Linked DNA regions of Caenorhabditis elegans. Changing the gene in region 3 together with the main gene of any one other region gives a genetic interaction. Each region holds a gene or a part of one and is shown on either strand. Other genes may lie near its edges. The genes, in order: fust-1, exc-7 and fox-1.

The links.
Region 1: changes in fox-1 (region 3) and fust-1 impair growth when combined (synthetic growth defect), as found in Caenorhabditis elegans (one study listed by BioGRID).
Region 2: changes in fox-1 (region 3) and exc-7 impair growth when combined (synthetic growth defect), as found in Caenorhabditis elegans (one study listed by BioGRID).

What each region holds. Positions count from the first base shown.
Region 1 is NC_003280.10:7,150,144-7,154,749, reverse strand, and holds the start of fust-1 (RNA-binding protein FUS), read right to left. Parts: upstream 2,099-4,606; 5' UTR 2,051-2,098; coding exon 2,047-2,050; intron 1,847-2,046; coding exon 1,740-1,846; intron 1,615-1,739; coding exon 1,329-1,614; intron 1,281-1,328; coding exon 1,223-1,280; intron 659-1,222; coding exon 621-658; intron 414-620; coding exon 275-413; intron 230-274; coding exon 1-229. Other genes in the region: T07F8.1 (Zinc finger PHD-type domain-containing protein), read right to left, coding at 2,990-3,424, 3,469-4,606.
Region 2 is NC_003280.10:9,573,653-9,578,258, reverse strand, and holds the start of exc-7 (RRM domain-containing protein), read right to left. Parts: upstream 2,289-4,606; 5' UTR 1,952-2,288; coding exon 1,892-1,951; intron 1-1,891.
Region 3 is NC_003284.9:2,453,381-2,457,986, reverse strand, and holds the start of fox-1 (Sex determination protein fox-1), read left to right. Parts: upstream 1-2,037; coding exon 2,038-2,118; intron 2,119-4,606. UniProt on the Caenorhabditis elegans protein: RNA-binding protein that regulates tissue-specific alternative splicing events by binding to 5'-UGCAUG-3' and 5'-GCACG-3' elements. Also binds to poly(A), poly(G), poly(C), or poly(U) stretches of RNA.

The DNA.
Region 1 (4,606 bases), on a different chromosome or scaffold from region 3:
GAACTTGGCTAGTGAAATACTCATCGGGCTTGAGCCGCCAGGGAATGGTTGCCCATTGTACATAGTTATAGCTTGTTGAGCTGCAGAAGCATCGACGAATGTTATCATGCATTCTCCTTTTGGTTCTCCGGTGTTGCGATCGGTGTAAATCTTGATTCTCGGTCCGCGATCGTTCTTTGCAATATCTCCGCAGGTACTGAAGACGTCGGCGATGTAGGCTTCATTTGCACTGAAATATAGATACATTTTTTAATTGGGCGATTACAAAACATACGTGGTGGAAATTCCCTGCACAAAGACGGTCTCCTTCAACTCAACTCGCCCATCGGATCCGAATTCGCGGTTTCCTGAAGCAGCACCACCGCCTCCGTATCCTCCTCCACTTGGTGGTCCGTCACGTCGGGGTCCTCTGTCTGCAATGAAAATATGAAAACTTTTACAAACAATTTTTTCGTCCAACTGTCAATAATATAAAGCACAGGAACAAGTATTTTTATATTCGTTTAATGTTTTTTGTTTTTGAATTTCGATGATAAACTCGGTAGGATACCCATTTTTTTTTAATTTTGGTAATAAACTCGTTGTGGTACGAAAGATAAAGCAATTTACGTATTCAATACCTTGATAACCTCCTCTTCCTCCTGGAGGTCCGCCCTGTCTGCAAAACATCATTCTTGAATGGAGTCTTCTGTCTTCTTCTCTCATGCTAACACCACAGTAAAATGTTTTCAGATTTCGACCGCGCAATAATACACCTTCAATTGATTTTTTTTTGTACGCACAAACACGATCATTTAGATTTTAAGATTTTTCAAGCATGAGAGATTTCAGACAGAAGCATCTCCTGCACGCTCGAAGTCGTTTGGTAGACTTCATTTGTTCTTCACTCTTGACTCGTTTTGATACCGAACACACGTAATAATAGCTGAACTGCATAATATTTTGAAGGAAACCGGGCCATAGCCCTACAAATCGATAAAGCACAATGAATTTGTGCTTCATTGCGGACACTGACCTTTTTTCATGAAACTTACAATGACGGACACAATACATTACTCTTCGCAAGTTTTTAATAGTGAATAGATTTTGTATATGAACACTGAATACTCTGAACTCTGTAGCAGTTTCGATTTTCAACACAACACAACAATTTTTGGATGGTTAAGCAAACGAATTTGGAAATACCGCATATTGCTAACGAAACATTCAGATGTTTACCTACCGATCAGAGTTTCCGTCATCCCATCGGCTCCCACCTCGGCGTTCTCCGTCGTAGCCACCTGAAAAACATGGTTTATTATGAATACATTAATCAAACAAGAACAAACCTCTACCACCACCACGTCCTCCGCGATCACCGCCGTAACCTCCGCGTCCTCCGTCGTATCCTCCACGACTTCCGCCACGTCCACCATCATATCCACCTCCTCCACGACTGCCTCCGAATCCTCCACGGCCGCCACCTCTACTTTGCCCGTAGGGGTCAGATCCTCCGGATTGGCCTCCGGATCCTTGGCCGTATGGATCCGCTCCTGGTGGTGGTGGTGCATATGGATTTTGCGGTTGTTGTGCTTGGTCGTGGCCTCCATAAGCAGCAGCGGCGTACGGATCCTGCTGAAATTTAAACTATGAAACGTCTGTGAGCCTGGTGGTATTCAACAGCAGAACTATGCTCCTGAACAATTCTGAGCAAAGCCATGATAGTGAGGCGATCAGCCCACAAAATCTCATATACTTACATCAGGTTGACCTCCTGGTTGTTGTTGTTGTTGCTGTTGATAATAGGCCCAATACGCCTGCTGCCCTTCGGGTGTGCTGTAGTCGGGTTGACTTTGGTCGTAAGCCGCTGAAATCGATAATGTTTTCAAATAACCGGGAAACAGAAATGGCAACGCCCGTGATTTGTATTCGGGAGCTCCCACAAATTCACGCATTAACCTAATTTATAAAACATGAATGGTGTTAGGAGGATAAATAAAATACTTTCAGTGGACACTCGGATTTCGATATTCCAATAAGAAAACGACTATTAAAAAAGAAACTAACCCATTTTTGTCGATATTCAAGTCGAGGCACTCGCTACGTGTCGATGCGTTGACTGAAATTTATCCTTTGAAGAGCAAATATATCTTAAAATTAAAAGAGAAACGAGAAGAGAATGGTTGAGGACAGATGCTGTTCAAAGAAGACGGAGAACGCTGTCCAATACGCGTCGCGGTTGTGCGTCGCGTGTAGTCTCAATGGAGCGCGCACATTTGCAGTTATATCTAGATATATCTGGTTGTAGCGAACCTTGGCAGATTTCAGCGTTCTGCTCCAAAAAACTAAATTTACTGAAAAAAACAATTATACTAAAAAAAATACTTTTTAAAAAACTCCATCTAAAACTTTGATAGTGCTCATCACAAGATTTGAGCACTGCAGGGTAATAAATAGTATACATTTTAACAATTTTGAGAAATTAGGTCGAGGAAAATGAAAAATAAAGTTAACTCAAGAACAAAAATTGCAACAAATGATTACAATTTTACACAGTATCCTCGTCTCGAAATGCGCAAGCGCGACGATTGCTGGCGCGTTTCGCGTGAAATGCTGCGTCTCTCACATTTCCAAGTCTCTCGCATTTCCTTGCTCATTCTAATTCTCATCATTTTCTTCGAACAAGGTTGATTTTTTTTTCGTTTTTTTGTTTCATTTTCATGTTTACATTGCTTGTATTCGGTTTTTCTAAAATTGTATTCACTTCTTTTGAAATATTTTCATGCTGTACCCCAATCTGAACCCATTCACAACCCGTTTGTTAGTTTAGGCAATTGAAAATTAGGATTCACGCTTATCATCAACTCAAAACACTTTGTAAGTCGGAATTTAGAGATCATTCATGGCTTTTCTGCTCGTTTAATTGATTTAATCGAAAAAAAAACATGTGAGTGAGAGAGAGAGAGAGAGATGTACTATAAAAACGGTTTCCTAGAAATGTTTGCTGTCACTAGTTTCTTTTATCGGAAATATAGTTGATGTTAGCGAAATAGTCGATCATCAACTCAGCGCGTAGCTTGAGAGACATCACAGAAGAAAATCGCGTCTCTGTTGTCCTGAAGAGCACATGAAACGCTTCCATCCCTTGTTCTGAAGTACGACCCCAAGTTCTTTTTGCTCTAATGTAAGGCTCGAGGTGAGTACAGAGGATGTGAAGTTTAGGAGTGACTCCCATCGAAGGATGAAGAATTCTGATGTTTCTCTTCAAGTTCTTCAAAGTTTTAGCGAAATCATTCAAATCATCATCTGTGAAGACTGCGTTATTGCTTGCTGACATGAGTGACGCCAAATCATTCATGAAGTTTCTCATATTCTGGATCCAACTACAGTCCGTGAAGACTTTTAGTACTTTGTCAATGTTTTCTGTCCTTAGTAGTTGGCGAACCTAAAGATTAGAATATTTTCAAATACCGAAAATCACAAATTTACTTGATTTCCGGTTAATCCCTGATAGTTAATTTTTTGACTACAGCCAATATAATCCAAAACTTCCTCGAGTTTCTGTTTTGTTGGCCCAGTTCGAGTCGAAATAGCCGTTGTCATGTCTTGGCGAGCAGCTTTCAAGTTACTAAGATGGCTTGTCTCGTGTTGTAAGCGCCTGGCAAGCTCATCAAGTGCCTCATTAGCATGTTCAATCATTTCCTCATTAGAAAGAATATGTTTTTCTTGACATTTTAAACAAGCAGTCGGATGATGTTTAGCTGCCTGGCGTTGATCCTCCGTATATCTACCAGCACACACCATATGAATTGCAAATGGACAAGCAACGCAGAAGAAGATATCTTGATCCTGTTGGCTTTTTGGCATATCACTGACGCAGCATGTTGGAGATCCACAAGATATCGACGAACGTTTGATATTATTCTGCTTTAGTCGACTCTCATAAACTTCCTTGATTTTCGTCGTGAGCACAAGGGCGTTTTGCAGACTTTCAACCACTTTTTGGCAAAATTTTTCTTCTTTCTGAACTATTCCCAATTCCATTCTCTGTTCGTTCATAGAGTCTGGAAGATCCTGTCCAGGGAAGTCGATTTGATTGGCAAGTGCCAAAAGTGAAGCCAAGATATAGTCATTTACCAATCCCATCAGAAGATGCAAACAAGGTGGTACGATACAAAATGGCTCAATGTGGAGTAATGGATGATACCCTGCTGATATCATACCACGCAATGTACGAAGAGGGCCCGATCTATCAAATTCGAAGGATTGAACTGTAGCCTTATTCATACCAGAATGAGCCCATCTGCCGGTACAAAAAATGCAAGAATCTGAAGCTGCCTGTCCTGGATGATTCATTGCAGATGACTCAAATTTCAGATCTCCTACCAATTTCAGACGAATATTTCGAATAACGAGTGCATTTTTTTCTTGATAACGAATGCTTGTCATTTTTTCGAGCTGCTCGAAAATCCCCGCGAAATACTTTTTCAGATTTGTGTAATTGTCTGTACCAGTGTACCATCCAAGAGCCGTCTCGGTGAGACTGCTGTTTGGCTTCTGACAATTCTCGATAGACATACAAACTTTTGTTACTCCATCACCGGTATCTGCGGAGATGATAATATCA
Region 2 (4,606 bases), on a different chromosome or scaffold from region 3:
GCGATTTTTGTATAATGGTCCCGGTTTTTCGAATGAAAATCTACGATTTTCAGATGTAAAAAATTCTGAACTCCCTAGATAGAAGTCCCGTTTTTGTCAATTTACATAAATAATACACCTCGTATATTTTCGGGTGCCTAGCATTGGTGAGAAGCGTCGGTAACCCCGGAAATTGTTCATTTTTTTCATTTGGGAATAAATAAATTATTATGTTTTTCTGCCATCTTTGTCCAATCTGACTATATATTCCATTTTTGGAGGTTACATCTGACCCAAAAATATTTCCCCTATGATTTCCAATCTTTCATTCCACCGGGAGATCTCAATTTTCAATTTCAATTCTTTTCTCGCGCGCGGGAGGGCTCTTCGGTACAAGTAACCGGAGAATTCATCCATTTCGCTGTCCATTATTTGGCCACGTCTCAAATTTCCTGTGCGTGAGCAAGTCTATATGGAAGAGATGGAGCCCCCCGCATGTTCTTCCCACCTCCTGGTGTGCTCACTGGAAGAGCAACAATACCCATGGGTATTTGAGAGGGAATAATGTATGAAATGAAATATATGCAAACGTTTTTTTCTACGCTGTTGGAATGAATAGACTTTAAGAGTTTTTTATAGGATCTTTGATTAAAGAGTTCCATATGCGTTTTATAGAAATAAAATTTTGAACCGTCCGGTATTGAGGAGGAACGTAATTTAGCAAAACTGTGATATAAATTCTAGTAGATTTCGAATTGAATTTTCACAAAATTTTAAAAGTTTTTAAATTTTAATTTATAGGTCTTCTATCAATTTTTTGAAGAAACACTTCAAAAAAACTGAAGAAAATCGCTGAGTTTTAGAATATTCCATATATATAGTACCTCTAGAAATTTAAATTAAAAAAAAAACTTCGTTTCTACCAATTTCATTAGTCATATATTGCACAATTATGATATTGTTAATTCAGCTATATTTTTTCAATAATCAAAAAACTTTTTAGAAAAAAAGAAAACAATTTTCAACAGGAAATCTAAAAATCTAGTATTCTCTTGTTATTTTTCAATTTTTCTCTCCATATTTTAATTTTCATGTCATTTCCACTCCCATCCACCAACACCACAACACATCATCATAATATAGGTGGATGAGCACGCAGGAATCTGAGCTTCTGAGCTCTTTCACAAAACAAATATTTTTATTTTTGGTCCTTATTCCTCCCTCATTCCTCCCTCAAGGCGTAATGAATGGGACGTATTTTCGAAAAGGAGTGGTTCGGAAAGGCGGAGAAAAGAGAAGAAGAGTAAGGAAGAAGGCTTCTCGGATTTTGAAAAATTGGCATTTGGGAATTGGGAAGCTTTCTTGAAAGAATGACACGTCAAATGCACACGCATGTATACCAAGTTTGGACTCGGGCTCACTGACGGATTGGACATTGGGGAAGAAACAATATTCAGATTTATGGTTATTACTAGAATTCAAGGCTCAACAATTTGTTTAGCTTTTAGATCTGAACGGAGCCTAAGCATCCAGTTTACCTAGTCCGAATTTTAAACAACTGTCATGATCAGGTTCTAAAAGCTTTTTTTAAACTTTTAATTTAACTAATAAAAAAACCATTCACAGTTAGAACCTGTAACAAACTTACAGCTCTTCAAAATTACCGCAGTTTACTGTTCTACTTTTAAAATGTGTATCTTTGCTATGGTTCTATATTTTATTAGTTGAATTTTTGTTGATAAAATCTTAGGCAACCAAAATATGAAATGTTACAGTCGAGTAGATTTCTGGACTTTTTGTAGACCTCAATGTTCAAAGATTTTGAAAACCGTATTTATTTTTGTTTTTTTTTTCTACTGCTTCTGGACTTTCATATAGATCTTTCCTAATAAAAATTGAAAAAAAAAATTACCTGAACGGGACTCGTCGGAACATTGTTGTTATTCGGTGTTAGCAACGCTTCCATCGTCATTTTGAAGACCGAATTTTGGAATTCAAAAATTCGAATTTCCTATCCAAAAATGCGTCGTTCGTTGTCTTCTGAAGTTGACACACCACCACTTCTTCCACTTGGTCTGTCAGGAAACAAAAGAGGGCTCTTTTCAAAAAGAAAGAGCTCCGGTTGTTGTGAGAGCAAAGAGAAGGAAGAGGAAAAGGGGCTCAGGGGGGCGGGGGGCCCGTCGCGAGGATATATGTAGAAATATGCACAAATGGGCGTGGCCTATTTATATTTTGTGTATGTTTGTGTGCCGCGGCTCCCCGTATATGCTCCGTTCGTTTTGGGCCGGCCGAGACTAGGGGAGATGGATCTGTAATTTCATAGGTTTGATAATTAATTTAAAAAAACATATCAGAGAGCAAGAAAAATAGAAGTGAAATAAAAGTAAATGGAAAACGTTTAATATCAGTGAAACTTTACAGAACTAGTTGTACACCATGATTTTTCACAATCCTACTCCACTCAACTGAAGCTGCAGAATTATGGCAGCGCACAGCATGACATACCTATACTCTGCCACTCAATTCCCTGTTGTTTTCAATTCTAATTAGCTTTGTTATTGGTTTACATAGACGCATGAATATATCTCATTGCCAATGAAAAGAACATTTATTGTTTTTATTATTGCTGGTATGATGCTTAGTTTCTAAATACCTGTGTATGTGTGTAACAGGTAAAATGGGAACTGTACGGATTATGAGGTAGGTAAAGTTTTAAAAAGGCAGATAAGAAGCCGAAAGACTAGGAAACAAGAACTACTAGAAATTGCAGGAAACTTTCCACAATCTATATAAAGGAATTCAGTTGTATAAGATTTTGGATCATGTGCTCAGACGGAAATGAAGGAAACAGGTGAACTTGACACATTATATGGATACGTATACACGCCAATTACGGCTTGAATAAGTGTATAGTGAGGGTCCAGACATTACAAGAATACAGTGTGAAAGCTGAATTTCATAATTTCCAACATCATAGAAAAAAGAATAAGAGCGCATCATGATTGAGGATTTTTGTGAGGGCAGGTGTGGAAACAATGGTTGATCAAACATGACTGACCTGGTTAGTGAAGGATATAGGGGAAAAGGATTGAAGATGACACGTATTTGAATAGGTGTTCGGTAAGAGGGAATACGTGAAGCCCGGTGGAAATTTTGTGGCTCTGGGAAGTTTGAATTTTTAAAGAAACGTAGGGGCTACGAAAGAACGAGTTAAATAAACCTATAGAATACCATCAACCATTCTACAGTAACCCTGTTACTTGCTCCGATTCCAGTTTTCTTGAACTGGAAACACTCCATCGCAAGTTTGCACCATCTAGTCAAGAAAATATCCAAATGCTTCTGCAATTTTGCAACAAAAAAAAAGGATTCCGCTGATCTTGAGAATATCCCAAAACCTGTCTAAGCACAAAACTTTGGCAATTGGTCACTATGGAATGCTAGGAAACAATAAAAAAAATCGACATCATTGTCATCTCAAAATAACTACCATAGAAACGGTGATCGACGATGAAACGCACTCTTCAATTGTGGTTTTCCATTAGTCCTCTTCTTCACCGCCTCTCGTCCCACCCCATACAAATACACACGACACGCACAGTTGAATGAACAACAAAACCTGAATAGGTAGAGAGGGGGACTCAATTATGTGTTAGTTAGGTAGAGGGGGGTGGCCCCCATATTGTTGTGTGAAAAGTGGTGCAGAGGAGAGGGCGGCCGGATGAGAGTACGTACCCCCGCGTCGGCGAGATTCATAATTGCTCAGGCCCTTTTACAGGATACAGTATTTCATGCCTTCGATCCGTTCCCAATAATTAGGTATGGCCCTTCCATTTGGACTTTTGGTTTGAGATAAATGACTACTAAGTACTTCAAACTACATTTAACCCTTGCGATTTTGGACTTTTCGGGAATTTCGGATTTAGGGGTTTTCGATTTCACAAATCACGGATTCAAAGACTGTAAAGTTCAAAGCACGGTCAATGGAGGATATTTTCGAAAGTTTACTGCAAAACTTGACTTTAGAAGAAGGAGATCACGATCGGATTTAGATTTTTTAACTGATACAAATTGCCAGTAGGAACTTTTAATATGAAATGCATATGATAATGATTTTAAACATAAAGGGTAGGATAGTTCCTTATCTCCATGACAACACGGTATTTAGGAGCAAATTTCTGTCAATCTGGCAAGGTTATTAGAAACAGATATAAAATTGCTCCCAAACGCCGGAAAGGGTCATTTTTTGAAATATTTTTATTGGTTTCTGAGGAAGTAAAACTACTAAAAACGATAAAAGTTCTATTCAACCATGGAAAAATGATCTATAACCAACTTATATGTAAACTGACTGAGTAGCGACTCTGTATCATAAGCAATCTAGTTGTTACCCCTCCAAAGGTCCAATAAACAATAAAAGTTGGATAAGTGGAATGGGTATAAGTGAATATAAACGAATGCGAATAAGTGGTGGATATCGTTCGCTCGTCATAAAAACTTTGATCTACCTCCCACCAACCATACGGATTTCATATAAAACATATAGATATTGGTTATGAGAGAGAGACAGAGAGAATTAGAGAGGTAGAGAGAGAAAGACAGTGAGAACTGTGTGTGACCACACACG
Region 3 (4,606 bases):
TAATGTTTTTCTAGTACTGTTCATATAAAAGTTTGCCAGTGATTTATCAGAAAGAGCCTCAGAAAGAAAAAAAGATTTGAATCTTAATGAATCGGAAAGTTGAAAGCACAAATACACTGAGATGGGGCAAGAATTCATTATACTTTCCGTGTTTTGTTATTTACTGAAATGCTCCCAATTTTCCCTAGATATTGCGTTTCTCCGTCTTGAAATCCGAATACCTCCTTCTCCTCCTCCTCCTCACTTGATTCCGTGTAGGACTTGTGAGGCTCGCTGGCAAAACTCCGGAAATCAAACAAGAATCGCGTTTCTTTTGCTCCTCTCTCTCTTCGTCCTTTTTTGTTCACAAAATCTAATTTGAAGAGGCGATTAAAGGTGTTGAATTGAAAAGGAACGACGTCATCTTGCTTAATCTGGCGGTCAAATCATTTTTTTAATCTAAGTTTTGTTTTCGGTAAGCTTTGGTTTTTTCAACAAATTTCCGGATTTTGTGTGGGCGGTTCGGGAACTTTTGAATGTATTAACCTAAAATATGCCCGAATGAACATGATGAATCTTCTCAAAAAAATTTTTCAAAATTTTTATAACACGGTTCAAAATTTCGAAAAAATTTGGCTCGAATTAAGTTAAAATCGCAAGTTTTCAACACTGTTTTGCGCCCAAAAAAGCGCCAAAATTGAAAATTATGGGTGAAATTAGACCTTCTTTCTATCGAAATTTTGAACCTTTATGAAAAATTTATGAAAATTTTTTGAGCAATCTCATTACCAAAATCGTTCTTTTGAGCGAATTTCGAGCTTATACGTTCCAAATTTCCCTAACAGTTAGTCCACTTGTAAGGAATTTTCGATATTGCTGAAAACTCTAATAGCGAAATAATAGCGGTAGTATGTATTGTCATATTTTTCAAAATTTTTAGTTCAAAGTTTTCCACAAAAAAAGTTTGCCTCTTGAGAAATTTCTAACATTTCTGCAAGTTTGAACTTCTGTGATGCTAAATTTCAAACAATTACTGCATAATCGGAATTTCAAAAATCCAAAATTTTTTTTAGGATTTTCAAAGTTATTATAGGGAAAAACTGATCTTGTTTTACTATAAATTTTGCATCTTTGAATGATTTTAAACAATTTCACCACTGGCTAGACATTTTAGCCTATTTCGAATTCCCAAGCTGCAATCTGAAAACCTTTTTTTTTCGAAGTGATCTGCGTTGTGACGGTTTGCAATATTTTCTTGTAATTCCTATTTTCAGGATTCGAGTTTTTTTCCCTACAAGACATATACTTCCCGTATGTTAATATTACCACCACTCCCAGAATAGCTAATATGATTAGTAGGTAGTGCTTTTAGCGCACATCTGTAAAGATGGTGAGAGCGTAGGGACGAAGACGACATTGGGACAGCGGCCACGCCCATTTCCTCTCAATTAATAAGACGTGCCTCTGAGCACACTTTTGCGCCATCCTTTCCCGTGCTCTTAACGCTCAGAAGTCAGTAGTGACCCTACTAACAACTCATTGAGAAAGAAGACGACGACAACCCGTGGGGGCAAAGTGGTCACACAAGTAAGAAACCGCGCCCCGTTTTCGTGTCTGTCGTGTGTCCCGCTATCCGTCCGGCGGGTCTAGTCCGTCTTTCCTGCTCCTTATTTGTGACGAATTGTCAGAAGGAAGAAAACGGAGAAGAAACAGCAGCAACAGCAGAAGAAGCAACTAGAAGCAAAAGCAGAAGCCGACAAAGAAGAAGAAGAAGCCTAAGGCCGTGTGAGCTGCCCCTCCGAGTTGTGTTGCGTGATTCGCCACTTCTTTGGATGAGGCCAATTGTGGTGTGACATACAGACACACATCGCATAAATACTGCCCCCCCCCCCCTTTTTTTTCAACCATTCCGTTTCCGACACGACGACTGACTCTTCAGTCAGTCATTCCTAGCCGTCCACGCTCGCCACCACTTCCCCGTCGCCCTGTTTTCCACAAAATTATTTTTCTAGTCTTTCCTTCTACTACTCTGGATACTGTAGCGCCTCTTGCTGAAACATGGCTGAACTAATCGAAGAGGTGAGCACTGCTACTCACGCTTCTCTCAATGCATGTGACCCGATTGTAGTGAATTCTGAGGTATGTTTTTTAATACTAATTTTTGTCTTGAAATTGGTCATGACTGAACGTTTCGAAAAGTTGGAAAAAACCATTGGGGCCTAAGGGTGCGCGGCAATTGCCGACCGGCAATTCTACAAAATATGACAGTTGGGCATGAGCTTTTGCATTTAAATTTAAGGATGTAATCTGGGAATAAGTATGAGTTCACTTGAAGCAACCGAAAAAACACACAAAAATCGACACATTTTCCGGAAATTTTCAGCAGAAATTTTCAATATTCAGACGATTTTTGAAAAATTCTCCACAGATATTTTCAAAAAAAAAAAAACCAAATATTTTTCTATATTATATCATCAAATTTTAATGAAAAATGTCGAGCCAACTGTCTCATTTCGTAGAATTTATTGCCGTGAACTTCTAATTGAGACTTTTTTTGCAAATCTAACTTCAACTTCAGTTTGTTGGTCGGAATGTGCACTTTTTAAGTGAGTTAGCTGCGTGTGAACCGAAAGACTATTCTAATCCAGTTTGCTTCCTTTTTTCCTCTTATTTTGTTTTGGGCTCTTCTTCAGTAAAGGCTCCATAGCATAGCTTTTTTTAATTTCGCAATTCTTCTCGTTTTGCCCATTTTGTCTTGCCAAAACAATAATGCGACTTTCCGACACAAAATTGTGTGAGAAATCTCGTCATTTTACCGCATCTCGACCTTCTCCTAAATGTTTTCGCAGCTGCTTGTGAGCCATCAAGAAAGGCAGAAGCTGGCAAACGGGAAGAGACGAAGGCTCACCCTTACTCAACGATAATTAGATGAGTACATGGATGTGAGATGGCTTCTTCCTTTTATTTGTGCTAGAAAGAAGACCGAAACATTGAAACACTCGCGCAGCACCGAACATTCAGGATTGCGAGCGGATATGTGCTGTGCGAATTGAAATAAGCGGAAAGTAGTGCAGTAATGAGAAATAGTGACCTCAACTACCTCAACTAGTCAACCATAGAAACGAGAATATCACGCAATTTACGCGGCAATTATACTACTGGATAGTTGAGGGGAGATGTCAAAAGGGGCATGACAACCAAAGTCAGCGTCAACTAGTGTTTTCGTTTCGACAGTTTCTATCTGTTTTGTGTGAATCGCGGAAAACTTTCCAACATGGAGTCTAAATTGATTTGTTATACCAAATTTGCGTACTGTTGATGGAAATTCGGAGAACTGGTTGTGTTTTTCAATATTTCCCGGTAGTCAAGTTTTGAAGTTTTTTAATTGAACATATATCATTGTGCCAAGTTTGGCAGATTTGTTCGGCAAATATTAGTATTTTCGGCACTCATTAAACATTTTGTCCAAAAATAAAAGTTTTGATCAGATATTTTATGAAAAAAAAAACATAGCATAGTGTTTTTATATGTTTTATTTAAAAAAAAATCGACACGTGCATTAGGCACACAATAAACGAAAATTATTTGTTTTCCATTAATTTTGACACTTTTTGAGCTCAAAAAAACATTTCAATTTACCGAGTTTGAGAACCACGGAAAAGGTGCCTAATTTGCCGAATTTCTCGAGTTCGGCAAATATTCAAACAAAAAAAATTTGCCGAACTTGTCGAGCTCGGCAAATCTCAAAGTTTGCCGCACACATTTGACACAATCCCTGAATGTGTTTCAAATTTTGTAAGGATATTTCTCAAAAATACAAAGTCTGTGACACAGAAAAGTGACCAAAATCGGGAAGTTTAGCTAAAATTGGGTTATTTTTTTTCGAAAATTTGCACCGCCTACATTTTAGAAAAAAAATTGAGCAGTTTCATAACATGTACGTTTAAAATGCCACGAGCTTGCGATTTTGCTTATATCTATCCCATTATGAAATTTATCGATGTTTTGTAAAGAAATTCGAAATATATATATAATGAAGCAGATTAAATCCAATCCCCTTTTCGTTCTGCCTCAACAATAGGTTATTCTCATATATTTCTATAATCAGAAGGAAAACAAATGGAGAATAATGTGGCACAGAGGAAAAAACAAGCAACCCAGGTTGACATCCAGCTTGGCTTGAATAATCTGGAACCTTTGGTCCCTCTATTGTTTCCTGCTCAATGTGTGTTTCTTTTTTTTCCTTGTTGTCGTTCAATGTACAAGGAATATTTACTTACGTTCATCATGTTTTGAGAACAAAATTGTTTTGCTTTGTTGTTTCTTTCTATCCAACCAAAACTTTTTGATTTTTTGGCCGCCATAGTTTTTGTATACAGTGTTGGCTAAAAAGGTACTCCTGATTGCAACTCTGAAACTGGAAAAATTTATTGCTCGTCACTATGTTTTTTTTTGTTTTTAAAGCGGCCGACATCTCGTAAGCCATTTCAACTCTTATATCTTATTTTTCTGACTGATTAAACAAAACGAAAAGTATTGTAAAGATAAATTTACTATCACAAACTTTCCATTAAAAATGTGGGTTTTGAGTTATCATCAAAAATGGATTCACGAAATGTCGGCGGCT